Ovis aries: one gene and its partners. The protein of the gene in region 1 purifies or fractionates together with the protein of each later gene. This does not show direct contact. Links are inferred from orthologs where the notes say so. Each region holds a gene or a part of one and is shown in the gene's direction. Other genes may lie near its edges.

Region 1 (3,748 bases):
CTCTATAAAGCACCCAAGAGCCGAGGTAGAGTACCCAAGGAAGGACAAACCGGCGGGGTGGGGGTGTTCAGACCTCCTTGGAAAAGATAGTTTGGCCACTAAAATGTCCACTGGTTTTCCCAGACAAAAGTGGTCTGGAGTTGCAGGTGGGGAGCAGGCAGTCAGCATTTGGTGGTGTGGGCATGCCCTGGAAATCCAGTTGCCTGCCAGAGCGGAAGGCCTTCAGAGCATGCAGGTGCTGGTGATGAAGCTTGCACAAGGGACAAATTCTCTAACTCCTCAGGCCGTAGTCTGAATAGGTCATTGCAGAAAGGTTCTTGCCATGCCAGGGCTGCATGTTTGCAGTGGGATCTCGTTCTGGTCGCACAGGCTCCACTGGCTGTTCTCACCCACCATGTCAGCCTCTGCCCCTGCCAGAAATCACAGCGGCCTCTTCCTCCTGCAGTCCCTGCAGCGCCCTCTACTGAGAAAGCTTAGCACTGGGCTCAGTTTAAATGCTTAAAGGAATTCTATTTCCATAGAACATACACTACATATATTGAAGAGTGCATTAGAAGGTGAGAGGCAATAAATTGATCCTTGACAGGTGCATTGGCCTATGTATTCCTTTTTTTTATCATTGGCTATTCATGATATATTTGAAGATCTGTTAATGCTAGTCATGCTTACTGATCTACCCTTTGAGGTAGGTTTTTAAAATTTTTCTGTAAGAATTTAAAAATGAATTTATCTACTTCTAGGGGGAAAAAAACTGGTTGGCATTTTTACTTAATCGTATATTTTTTAAGTTTGTTTGTTTTTTCTCCAGAGATTGAACCCAGGCCACAGCACTGAGAGCCCAAAGTCATAACCACTAGGCTAGCAGGGAACTCCCTGTGTTTTTTAATTTTTAAAAGTATTTTATATTAAATTCTCATGGTAGAAAATTCTTATAGTTAACAACAAAAGCTTTATGGAAGTGAATGAAGGGAGAGAATGAATTCCATGCCTTTTATTCCTACCCCTCTGAGGTTGTGTGTATATTTTTCAGGATGTATTTCTGGGTCCATATAAGTGTGTGTGTGTAATAAAAATGTGTCAACCTTTTTCACAGTATGCTTGTACCTGTAACTTAGAAATGTCTTTTCTTTTTTCTTTACAGCCATACCTGTCCATGACTCTGAGAACATTATAATGTTCTTTTGTGCTTCTCACAAGGGGTTTTCCTAGCTGTTACCTACTCAAGACATGGATGTCAAAAACTCACCATCTAGCCTTAACTCTCCTGTCTCCTATAACTGCGGTCAATCCATTCTACCCCTGGAGCCAGGCCCCATATATTTACCCTCTTCCTATGTAGAGAGCCGCCATGAATACTCAGCCGTGACATTCTATAGCCCTGCTGTGATGAATTACAGTATTCCCAATAACTCAGAAGATGGGCCTGGTCGACAGACCACAAGCCCAAATGTATTGTGGCCAACTCCTGGACACCTCTCTCCTTTAGCCATCCATTGCCAGTCGTCACTTCTGTATGCAGAACCTCAAAAGAGTCCTTGGTGTGAAACCAGATCATTAGAACACACCTTCCCTGTGAACAGGTAAATCCAGTCTTCATTCTGAATTATATTATGGCCGATATTCAGATTGCTTTATGACTTAGTGAGAAGAAAGATATGTGTTATACAAGGTCTTCATTATCACATAGAGCACCTAGAACATCTGATGTTCTGAATTCTAGGATATCTATTCTGATATTCTAGTCCTTACTAAAAAGTTGAGCTTTTAGATCTGTGTTGTGGGGGAGAATTCACTTCATGACTATCTTTGGAAAATATTTAATTTAAATCACTTTCTTCTTGATGAAGTGATTTGAGTTTGAAAAAGGAATTTTTATTTTCAAGTTAGAGCCTTCCTATCTTGAAGTGAAATCACAACTTAGTGTTCATGACAAATTATGTCCAAGATAAAAGTAACCATTGGTATTACAACTCGATGAAATGCTAGACAGGTGAAAAGACAAACAGTGGTACAAATTTTTAAACAGTGAACTAAATAACATTTTATAAAGATTGACAGGAAACTAATGTGGACTTTAGTTGAACATTCTGAAACTCTAAGTGCAAGGTAACATCAGGGATTATTTGCATTCAATTTGTTATACGTACACACACGTATATATTTTGTGCTATGTGGCTGTGGGATCTTACTTCCCCAACCAGGGATTGAACTCGGATAGTTTTAATGATAATCATGGCTACAGAGGGCAGAGTTAGTATAGGCAGAAGCATGAGGGGGCATAACTTTACACAAGAACCCAAGTACTAAGTTATGGCATATTTGGTATTGAAGTTTATTACTTTCAAATTCATAAAACTTTGAGAAAGCCATATTACACACTAATTTTATTTTTCTTCTTTTTTAAAGAACTTTTTGATTGGTAAAAGAGAATATGAAAAATGTAGATGACTTTTTAAAAGTAATGTCTTCACATTCAACTTTTAAAGGAAGAAATATCTTATTTCTGAGGACAAGTTCTAATCAGAGCTCTGCTAATATTTGGGTACATTAAACCTCAGCATATTAAATTTATACATCAATCATACCTCTGCCATGTCCTTTCCAAAGGAAACATGCTGTAGCAAAATTAGGAACTAGCCCGGTGTGTTCTTGGTGTCTGCCGGTGGCCCACTGTGGGTTCCCCCTTCCTCTGTGGTAAGCCTCTCCACCCTGCATTGAACACCTGCTTTCTTCAGAGCCTTCTCAAGGGACAGGCATGTGTTTATGCTCTCCCCCTCTCCTCTTCTCTTCTCCTTCGCTTTCCCCTTTTCGCTACTGCTCCCACCCAGACTTGATGTAGTCACTGATTACAGAGATGTACACATTGATGGCTATAGCTAGTTCTCCATGGTAATCGGTGTTCATCCACACTGTGTGGATGGGTGTAAACTCACCTATCCACTTTCAGACACCAGCGATCCCAACAGAGCGACTCTTAATAGATCTGATATCAGTAACAAAGGTTTTGCTTGATCAGATCTCTTGGAATATATTTGTTATGAAGCCTGGAGGGCAAAGAGATACACGAGGCAATGTTCATGCTGTTCCTTTTTCTAGAAAGGCCTTGTTTTACCGTCAATGTTCTTTTACAGTGAATGTTCTCTTTGCCCCTAGGGAGACATTGAAAAGGAAAGCTAGTGGGAGCAGTTGTGCCAGCCCTGTTTCTAGTCCGAGTTCAAAGAGGGATGCCCACTTCTGTGCTGTCTGCAGCGATTATGCGTCGGGATATCACTATGGAGTCTGGTCATGTGAAGGATGTAAGGCCTTTTTTAAAAGAAGCATTCAAGGTACAAGAATGTTGTTAGCTGCTTTTTTTGTTTTCCACTTTGCTTTTAAACAATGTTGCGGATGACCTGGCAGAAATTTTACCTTTGTTTGGCCTGCTTGGTACACAGAGTACTTGGTGACTGTTTCAGAGGATCATGTGTCTTTGGGGGTGGGGGGATTGTTTCAAGTATAGAGTACTTTATCTTTCACTCAGATCTCTACCCCCAAACCCAAATGGATCTTGCACCACCATCACCTGTTGCCGTCTTCCTAGGAGGAAACATAACCTTTGTGAAGGCTGGAAAAAATGTGTGCCCATTAGGAACTGTGAAGATTGTTTCTTCCTTTGACTTATGTTTAATATCTAGCATATGTAACAGTTGAGATGGTGGGCTGGCTCCTGAGGAAGAGAGAATATGTTTTATGCAGTCAGTAGCTCAAC
Region 2 (3,648 bases), on another chromosome or scaffold:
TAGGAGCTGACAGGCTAAAGCAACAGGATGGACAGACATATACATTTCCCCTTCTCTTTTTTTTTTGTTTTTGTTTATTTTATTTATTTTGTTTTTTGTTTTGTTCTGATATATATGGACTGCCAGAATAGGGGGGGTGGTGGTTGTTCGTGGTGTCTGGGGGAGGAAGGAATCCTTACCCTGGCTTCCTTAATCGGGGAAGGCTTCCTGAAGGAGGTGGGCTCAGAGGTGAGTTGTGAATGAAGCGGGTAGGGAATGGACTGGGTGGAGGGTTCTGGGAGGTTTGGGGGAGGTAAATATGAAGGGGTAGAGGGAGAATATTTTTGGGGGATTGATGTTGAGAAGAGAAGGAGCAAAATGAACTGGACCTGAATTTCAGTATGAGTAATTTGAATCTTGTGAGTGAGAGAAGGTTTTTTGGAGGAGGGTTATAGTCAGGAAAGGTAGATGGGAGCTGGGGAGGGGGTTTTCTGTTCTCTCCTGAACTGATTTTCTTTCTCTCTTCCCGTCCTTAATTACCTCTCTCAGGTCTCGAAGTGCTGCAGCTAAAACCCATACAACTGCCTTGGCTGGACAAAGTCCTTCACCTGCTTTGGGGCATCGAGGGGAGGGAGATGTACCTCCCAGGGAACCAGGTACTACCAGCATAGGGCAGCCTAGTCCGGAGCCTTCTACAAAGCAGCCTAGCAGTCCCAGTGAAGACAAAGACAAGAAGGAGGTATGTTCCTGAATTAATGGATGTTCTTGGGGTTGCAAGGCTGTGGATTCAGGATAGCTGTTCAAAGTTAAGGAAAAAGTAAGATCAAGTTTTGGTTTCTGATTTGTCTCTTGGTATTCATAAAGTTCTTTTTTGCATCTGCAAATCATTTAGAATTGTGATTTTCAAACTTCACTAGATAATAATAAATAGGTTTTACCTTACTGTTCTGTTTGTAAATGTAAGATAAAACTTGGAACAAAAAATTTTCTTTACACTTACTAGCCATTTACTATTCTGTGTATCTAGTATTTATTTCATTAAATGCTGGTTGTGGCTTACTAAAACTTCTCAGTCTGCTGAGTTGCTGCTTGCAGTCTGAAAACTACTTTCGGAAATCTTTTCCATACCTTTTCTTTTATACTTGCTGCTGCTGAGTCGCTTCAGTTGTGTCTGACTCTCGACTCTGTGCAACCCCATAGGCAGCAGCCCACCAGGCTCCGCCGTCCCTGGGATTCTCCAGGCACGAACACTGGAGTGGGTTGCCATTTCCTTCTCTGTTTATACTTGCTATTCTAATTCAGACCCTAATCATGTTTTCTTATTTCTATCATCACAATATATTTTTAATTGCTCTTTGATAAAGTTGTAGCTCTCCTGTTATTTTTCATGTTCTCCAGAGTTGATTTTCCAAACTGCAAGTTCGATCACCTCAGAAACATAATTTACTTCCTATTTCTCTTGGCTTATGTTTTAAGGTTTTTATAACTTGGTCTCTTTTTCTGTGTTTTCCTATACTTTATCCTAGTTTTTGTTGTTCACATGCCATGTTTTCAGTTTTTTTTCCTTTTAATGTGGTTATTTTTTAAGGGTGAAGTCAGTCACTTTGGGAAACTGCTTTATCTTTACATTTAAAAATACTCTTCTGCATTCAGCATGTTACAGTGGTTGTTGTGAACTAATAGTACATTAGATTGCATTGTTTTTTCTAGATTAGAAGATTTGAGATTATTATAGACTCTATTTTCATATGTTTTTAACTGTATTTTGTACTGTGTGATTATTGAATGAACGTGACTGCCTGTGGTGAGGAAAAGGTATTTCATTGGAAGGGGTGTTGAGACCTTACAGATGATAGGAAGTTTTGGTGCTTACATTATCCCTACCCCTACCCTCTTTTCCACTCTTAGAAATCTGCAGTTCGACCTAGTCCCTCTCCGGAAAGGAGCAACACAGGGCCAGAACCACCGGCTCCCACTCTGCTCCTTGCTGAGCAACATGGCGGCTCCCCACAACCCCTTGCAACAACCCCCTTAAGTCAGGAGCCAGTGAACCCCCCTTCTGAGGCTTCTCCAGCCCAGGGTCATTCACCACCTAAGTCTCCTGAGAAACCTCCCCAATCTTCTTCAGAGAGCTGCCCACCATCCCCTCAACCTACCAAAGTTTCTCGGCATGCCAGCTCTTCCCCTGAAAGCCCTAAACCGGCACCAGCTCCTGGGTCCCGCCGAGAGAGTTCCTCTCCTGCATCCAAGAGTCGCTCTCATGGCCGAGCAAAACGGGCTAAGTCACATTCTCATACTCCTTCCCGTAGGGTGGGGAGGTCCCGTAGTCCTACCACCAATAAGAGGGGGCGGTCTCGGTCTCGAACCCCTACCAAGAGAGGTCATTCTCGGTCCCGGTCACCTCAGTGGCGTAGGTCACGTTCTGCACAGAGGTGGGGACGATCTAGAAGCCCCCAGCGACGTGGCCGCTCTAGGTCTCCTCAGCGACCAGGCTGGTCCAGGAGCAGAAATACACAGAGAAGAGGCAGGTCTAGATCAGCAAGACGAGGCAGGTCACACTCTAGATCCCCTGCAACTAGGGGTAGATCTCGTTCTAGAACACCTGCCCGGAGAGGCAGGTCTCGGTCTAGAACACCCGCGAGGCGGAGGTCACGATCTAGAACACCTGCCAGGCGGAGGTCACGATCTAGAACACCTGCCCGGAGAGGCAGGTCTCGGTCTAGAACACCTGCAAGGCGCAGATCTAGGACCCGATCACCTGTACGACGGAGGTCTCGTAGTAGATCACCAGCCAGGAGAAGTGGCAGGTCACGTTCCAGAACCCCAGCCAGGCGTGGGCGCTCACGCTCTAGAACACCAGCAAGACGAAGTGGGCGGTCACGCTCTAGAACACCAACTAGACGAAGTGGCCGGTCACGCTCTAGAACCCCAAACAGGAGAGGGAGATCTCAGTCTAGGACACCAGCAAGACGGGGAAGATCCCGTAGTAGAAGCCTAGTTAGACGGGGAAGATCTCACTCTAGAACACCACAAAGAAGGGGCAGGTCTGGCTCATCATCAGAGCGGAAGAACAAATCCCGCACATCCCAGAGAAGGAGCAGGTCCAACTCAAGTCCAGAAATGAAGAAATCGCGGCTTTCTTCTAGGCGGAGCAGGTCTCTCTCTTCACCAAGGTCCAAAGCAAAATCCCGTTTGTCTGTGAGGCGAAGCCTTTCAGAGTCCTCTCCATGCCCAAAACAAAAGTCTCAGACACCACCAAGGCGCAGTCGTTCTGGATCATCCCAACGCAAAGCTAAATCTAGAACGCCACTGAGACGAAGTCGCTCTGGTTCTTCTCCGCCTGGTAATCAGAAATCTAAAACACCATCAAGGCAAAGTCATTCCAGTTCATCTCCTCAACCTAAAGCAAAGTCTGGAACACCACCAAGGCAAGGGTCCGTAACAAGTCCCCAGGTAAATGAAGAGTCTGCAACGCCACAGAGACGGAGCCGTTCTGAATCATCACCTGACCCTGAGGTGAAGTCTAGGACCCCTTCAAGACACAGTTGCTCTGGGTCTTCTCCTTCTAGGGTGAAATCTGGCACACCTCCAAGACGGAGCCGATCTGGGTCGTCATCTCCACAACCCAAAGTGAAGGCAATAACATCACCAGTCCAAAGCCATTCTGGC
Region 3 (3,648 bases), on another chromosome or scaffold:
TCCATGGTGTGTCTTAATTTTCTTGAAGAGATCTCTAGTCTTTCCCATTCTATTGTTTTCCTGTATTTCTTCGCATTGATCACTTAGGAAGGCTATCTTTGCTGTTCTTTGGAACTCTGCGTTCAAGTGGGTATATCTTTCCTTTTCTCCTTTGCATTTTGCTTCTCTTCTTCTCTCAACTATTTGTAAGGCCTCCTCAGACAACCATTTTGCCTGGACTGTCGGAGAATTCCCTTTCCACCTGTTAGCGTGAAAGCGTGTTCGCGTGTCTTCAGTCGCCAGTTGTGTCCCGCTCGTTGCGGACCCCGTGTACTAGAGCGCGCCAGGCCCCCCTGCCCATGGACTTCTCCAGGCGAGAGTACTGGAGCAGGTTGCCGTTTCCTCCTCCAGCGCATCTTGCTGACACAGGAATCGAACCCACATCTCTTTAGCAAGTGGATTCTTTACTAGCTCCACCTGGGAAGCCCAAAACAATATACCCCGTTTGGGGCTATATAATTTGTTGTGGGACGTGCCATCATTGTCCCTGTGGATGGATATTTAGGTTTTCCTAGTTTTTCACTCAAAAAAAGGATGCTATGATGAATATCTTTGAGGCCAGATTTATCTGCACACTGGGAATGAATTTCACAAGTAGACCGCTGGGTCAGCGTGTTACACTCTTCAGGGATTGATGAGTGTGACCAGTCTGCTTTCCAGGAGGTGTGTGGTTCTGAGCTCACATGAAGGGCCCCACAACTCCCATCTCAACTGGCTTCTGGCATCCTTCTGGAATCAAAACCTTTGCAGGACCTTCTTACCTACTGACTGGGTCACAGGGATTGAAGTGGTAGCCCTTTCTTGTTTCTTGTTTCAGCTGGCAAAACTCAAGTCTCAGATGCTGCTGCACCCCCCAGGAAGAAGAGGAGGAAAGCACAGAAGAAACCCCGGGAGCGGGAGGAGAAGACTGCAAAGCCCAGGGCCCAGGCCTCTGCGAAGTCTGAGGCCAGGAAGCCAGAGGCGGCTGAGGAGGAGGAGGGAGCCGCCAGCTCCACCAGGGCCCCGGCGGGTGAGGGGGCCGGGCAGGCAGGCAGGGCCCCCGCGGGTGAGGGGGCTGGGCAGGCAGGCAGGGCCCCCTGGGATCTGGGATAGGTGTGTATGTGGCCCTCTCCGGTCATAACAGCACGATCAGGTACACTGGGATGGTGTGAGGCTTTGCAGAGGACAGATCGCAGGGTCTCTGGGTGGATGGGAAGCTCAGGAAGGGCACAGACGTCCCAGGTCATATAGTAACCGGGACGGGGAGGGTCATGGCCGTGTCCTCTGAGATCCTGAGAGGCCTGGCACGCCGAGCTTCACTGCCCTCAAGTCTCTGAAGTGATGTCGTGAGAGCTGCCTCTGGGTGTGGGTGGGTGCCGCACAAGTTGGAAGAATCCAGAGATGGGTTTGGCCCGTGTTGCACAAGCAAGCCCTACCCCGCAGGCCAATCCAGCTTGAAGAGGTGAAGAGTTCACTAGAACTGCTCTGCAGGTCCACCAGTGGCCACTGGACAGGAGTGGGGGTGGGGGGCGCACACGGAGGCTCAGGCTTTGAATCCGGCACCGGGGGGGTGGGGGTGGCACAGAAAGGTCGGGAGGGGTTCTCCTTCTGGATTTCTGATCCTTCTTTGCAGGTGGCCTGGCCGCAGAGTCTGACTCTTTATTTGCCTTGGATGTTCTGCGACAGCGCCTGCATGAGAAGATTCAGGAGGCGCGGGGCCAGGTAGGTGTGGGGTGGGGGGCGGGCAGGGGTCTCGGGAGCTGCAGGGCTTTCCCCACCCCACCTGGAGGAGGAGACACCCCGGTGCTCTCGGAGGTCGGCTCCCTGCTCTGCCGGCCGTCACAGGCCTGGCAGGAGGGTCTTGGCACCTCTGTTCTGCAGGAGGTCGGGTGCCGTTCGTGTCATCTGAGGGGCACTGCAGGCTAAGCCCCCACGTTGAGCTGCTGGCTCTTCTCTGCTGCGGCCTTTGAGAGGCTCGGGCTCCTCTCAGCAGCACTTCCTGGGCGATCGTTCTTCTGATTGTCCTGACGGCCCTGAGGTGAGCCAGGGCCTGAGATGAGGTGACCTGCCCGAGGGGACCGCCTCGGGACCGACGCTCCAGGACGTGAACCAGCCTCAGTGCGGAGTGCTGAGTGGGGTCGCCTCCCCTCCTTTCCCTGGGGACCTCCCCAGGCCTCTGCCGTGGGGGACAGGCCCGAGGGCCCTGCCTTCCTGCGGTGGTCCAGAGCACTCTTGTCTGCCGGGCGGGGCTCAGAGTAGCGCCGGGGTCTGCACAGGCAACACTGCCTTGTCCTGACCGAACCTCCCGATTTGGTGGTGGCGGTGCCCCAAGCCCCCTGCCCTTACCCCGTCTGACTGGATGGAGGATGAGGTGCCCCTTGTTGGGTCATCGGATGGACTTAGTGGCCCCTTTTGGGAGGTGCCCTGGCATGTGGTCTGCGCCTGGAATCTGGAAGCTGTGGTTCTCACAGGGTCCCCTCCTCCTTGTCTCGGGCGCACTCTGGGGCCAGGTCATCTCGGGGAGGAACGCCGCACCCCGCTGGCCCTTGTCCTGACCTGACTGCACGTGCTAAGCTGGGGGCCCTGTTATAAGAACCTTATGAGTGAGCGCGGGATCACCCCACAGGGCAGCGCCAAAGAGCTGTCCGCCGCTGTTTTGGAGAAAAGACGCCGGAGGAAGCAGGAGCGCGACCGGAAAAAGAGGAAACGGAAGGAGCTGAGAGCAAAGGAGAAGTCAGCCAAGGCACTGGAGGGGGCGGAGGCCACCGAGCCGGACCCGCCGGTGCCCGGGGAGGAGACGCAGGCCCAGCCGGGGCTGCTCTTCAACAAGGTGAGCGCCGTGCCGCTGGGCTGTGTGCGCGCCCTGTGCTGCCGTCAGGTGGGCAGAAGTGGGCCCCTGGGCGGGCGGGGAGCGGCCCTCAGCTCGCGTCGCCCTCTCCCCCGAGGTGGAGGTGACTGAGGAGGAGCCAGCCAGCAAGGCCCAGCGCCGGAAGGAGAAGAGGCAGAAGCTGAAGGGGAACCTGACACCGCTGACGGGCAAGAACTACCGGCAGCTGCTGGAGCGCCTGCAGGCGCGTCAGGCCCGGCTGGAGGAGCTGCGGGACCGGGACGCGGGGCAGGCCCAGGAGCTCGAGGCCAAGATGCGCTGGACCAACCTGCTGTACAAGGCCGAGGGCGTGCGGATCCGCGACGACGAACGCCGGCTGCAGGAGGCCCTGAAGCGCAAGGAGAAGAGGCGCGCGCAGCGCCAGCGCGCCTGGGAGAAGCGCACGGCGCACGTGGTGGGCAAGATGCAGCAGCGGCAGGACCGGCGGCGGCAGAACCTGCGCAAGAAGAAGGCGGCCAAGGCCGAGCGCCGCCTGGAGAAGGCTCGCAAGAAGGGCCGCATCCTGCCCCAAGACCTGGAGCGCGCCGGCCTGGCCTGAGGCCCCGGCTGCCCGACCCCCGTCCCGAGCGGTGCAGGCTCCGGTGGAAAGTGGACTCTGCCTCGTGCCCCTCACCGGTTTGTCTGAGGCTCAGGCACCCCCGTGCAGAAGAGCCTTCACATCCGGGGAAGGGGCTGACCCAGACCCAGCTCCAGCCTCCTCTTATTAGACCAGAGGCTCCCTGCAGCTTGTGGGGTGGTGGACC

Evidence for each region.
Region 2: the proteins of ESR2 (region 1) and SRRM2 purify together in Homo sapiens (affinity purification with mass spectrometry; 3 studies listed by BioGRID and IntAct, with this or other methods). This does not show direct contact. The link is inferred for Ovis aries from reciprocal best matches to the Homo sapiens genes ESR2 and SRRM2.
Region 3: the proteins of ESR2 (region 1) and SURF6 purify together in Homo sapiens (affinity purification with mass spectrometry; 3 studies listed by BioGRID and IntAct, with this or other methods). This does not show direct contact. The link is inferred for Ovis aries from reciprocal best matches to the Homo sapiens genes ESR2 and SURF6.

What each region holds. Positions count from the first base shown.
Region 1 is NC_056060.1:74,529,989-74,533,736, reverse strand, and holds the start of ESR2 (estrogen receptor beta), read left to right. Parts: upstream 1-1,227; coding exon 1,228-1,580; intron 1,581-3,153; coding exon 3,154-3,326; intron 3,327-3,748.
Region 2 is NC_056077.1:2,799,235-2,802,882, reverse strand, and holds part of SRRM2 (serine/arginine repetitive matrix protein 2), read left to right. Parts: coding exon of another isoform or gene 1-3; exon of another isoform or gene 4-228; intron 229-528; coding exon 529-718; intron 719-1,887; coding exon 1,888-3,648. UniProt on the Homo sapiens protein: Required for pre-mRNA splicing as component of the spliceosome. As a component of the minor spliceosome, involved in the splicing of U12-type introns in pre-mRNAs.
Region 3 is NC_056056.1:2,705,176-2,708,823, forward strand, and holds part of SURF6 (surfeit locus protein 6), read left to right. Parts: intron 1-856; coding exon 857-1,048; intron 1,049-1,651; coding exon 1,652-1,740; intron 1,741-2,644; coding exon 2,645-2,848; intron 2,849-2,963; coding exon 2,964-3,443; 3' UTR 3,444-3,648. UniProt on the Homo sapiens protein: Binds to both DNA and RNA in vitro, with a stronger binding capacity for RNA. May represent a nucleolar constitutive protein involved in ribosomal biosynthesis or assembly.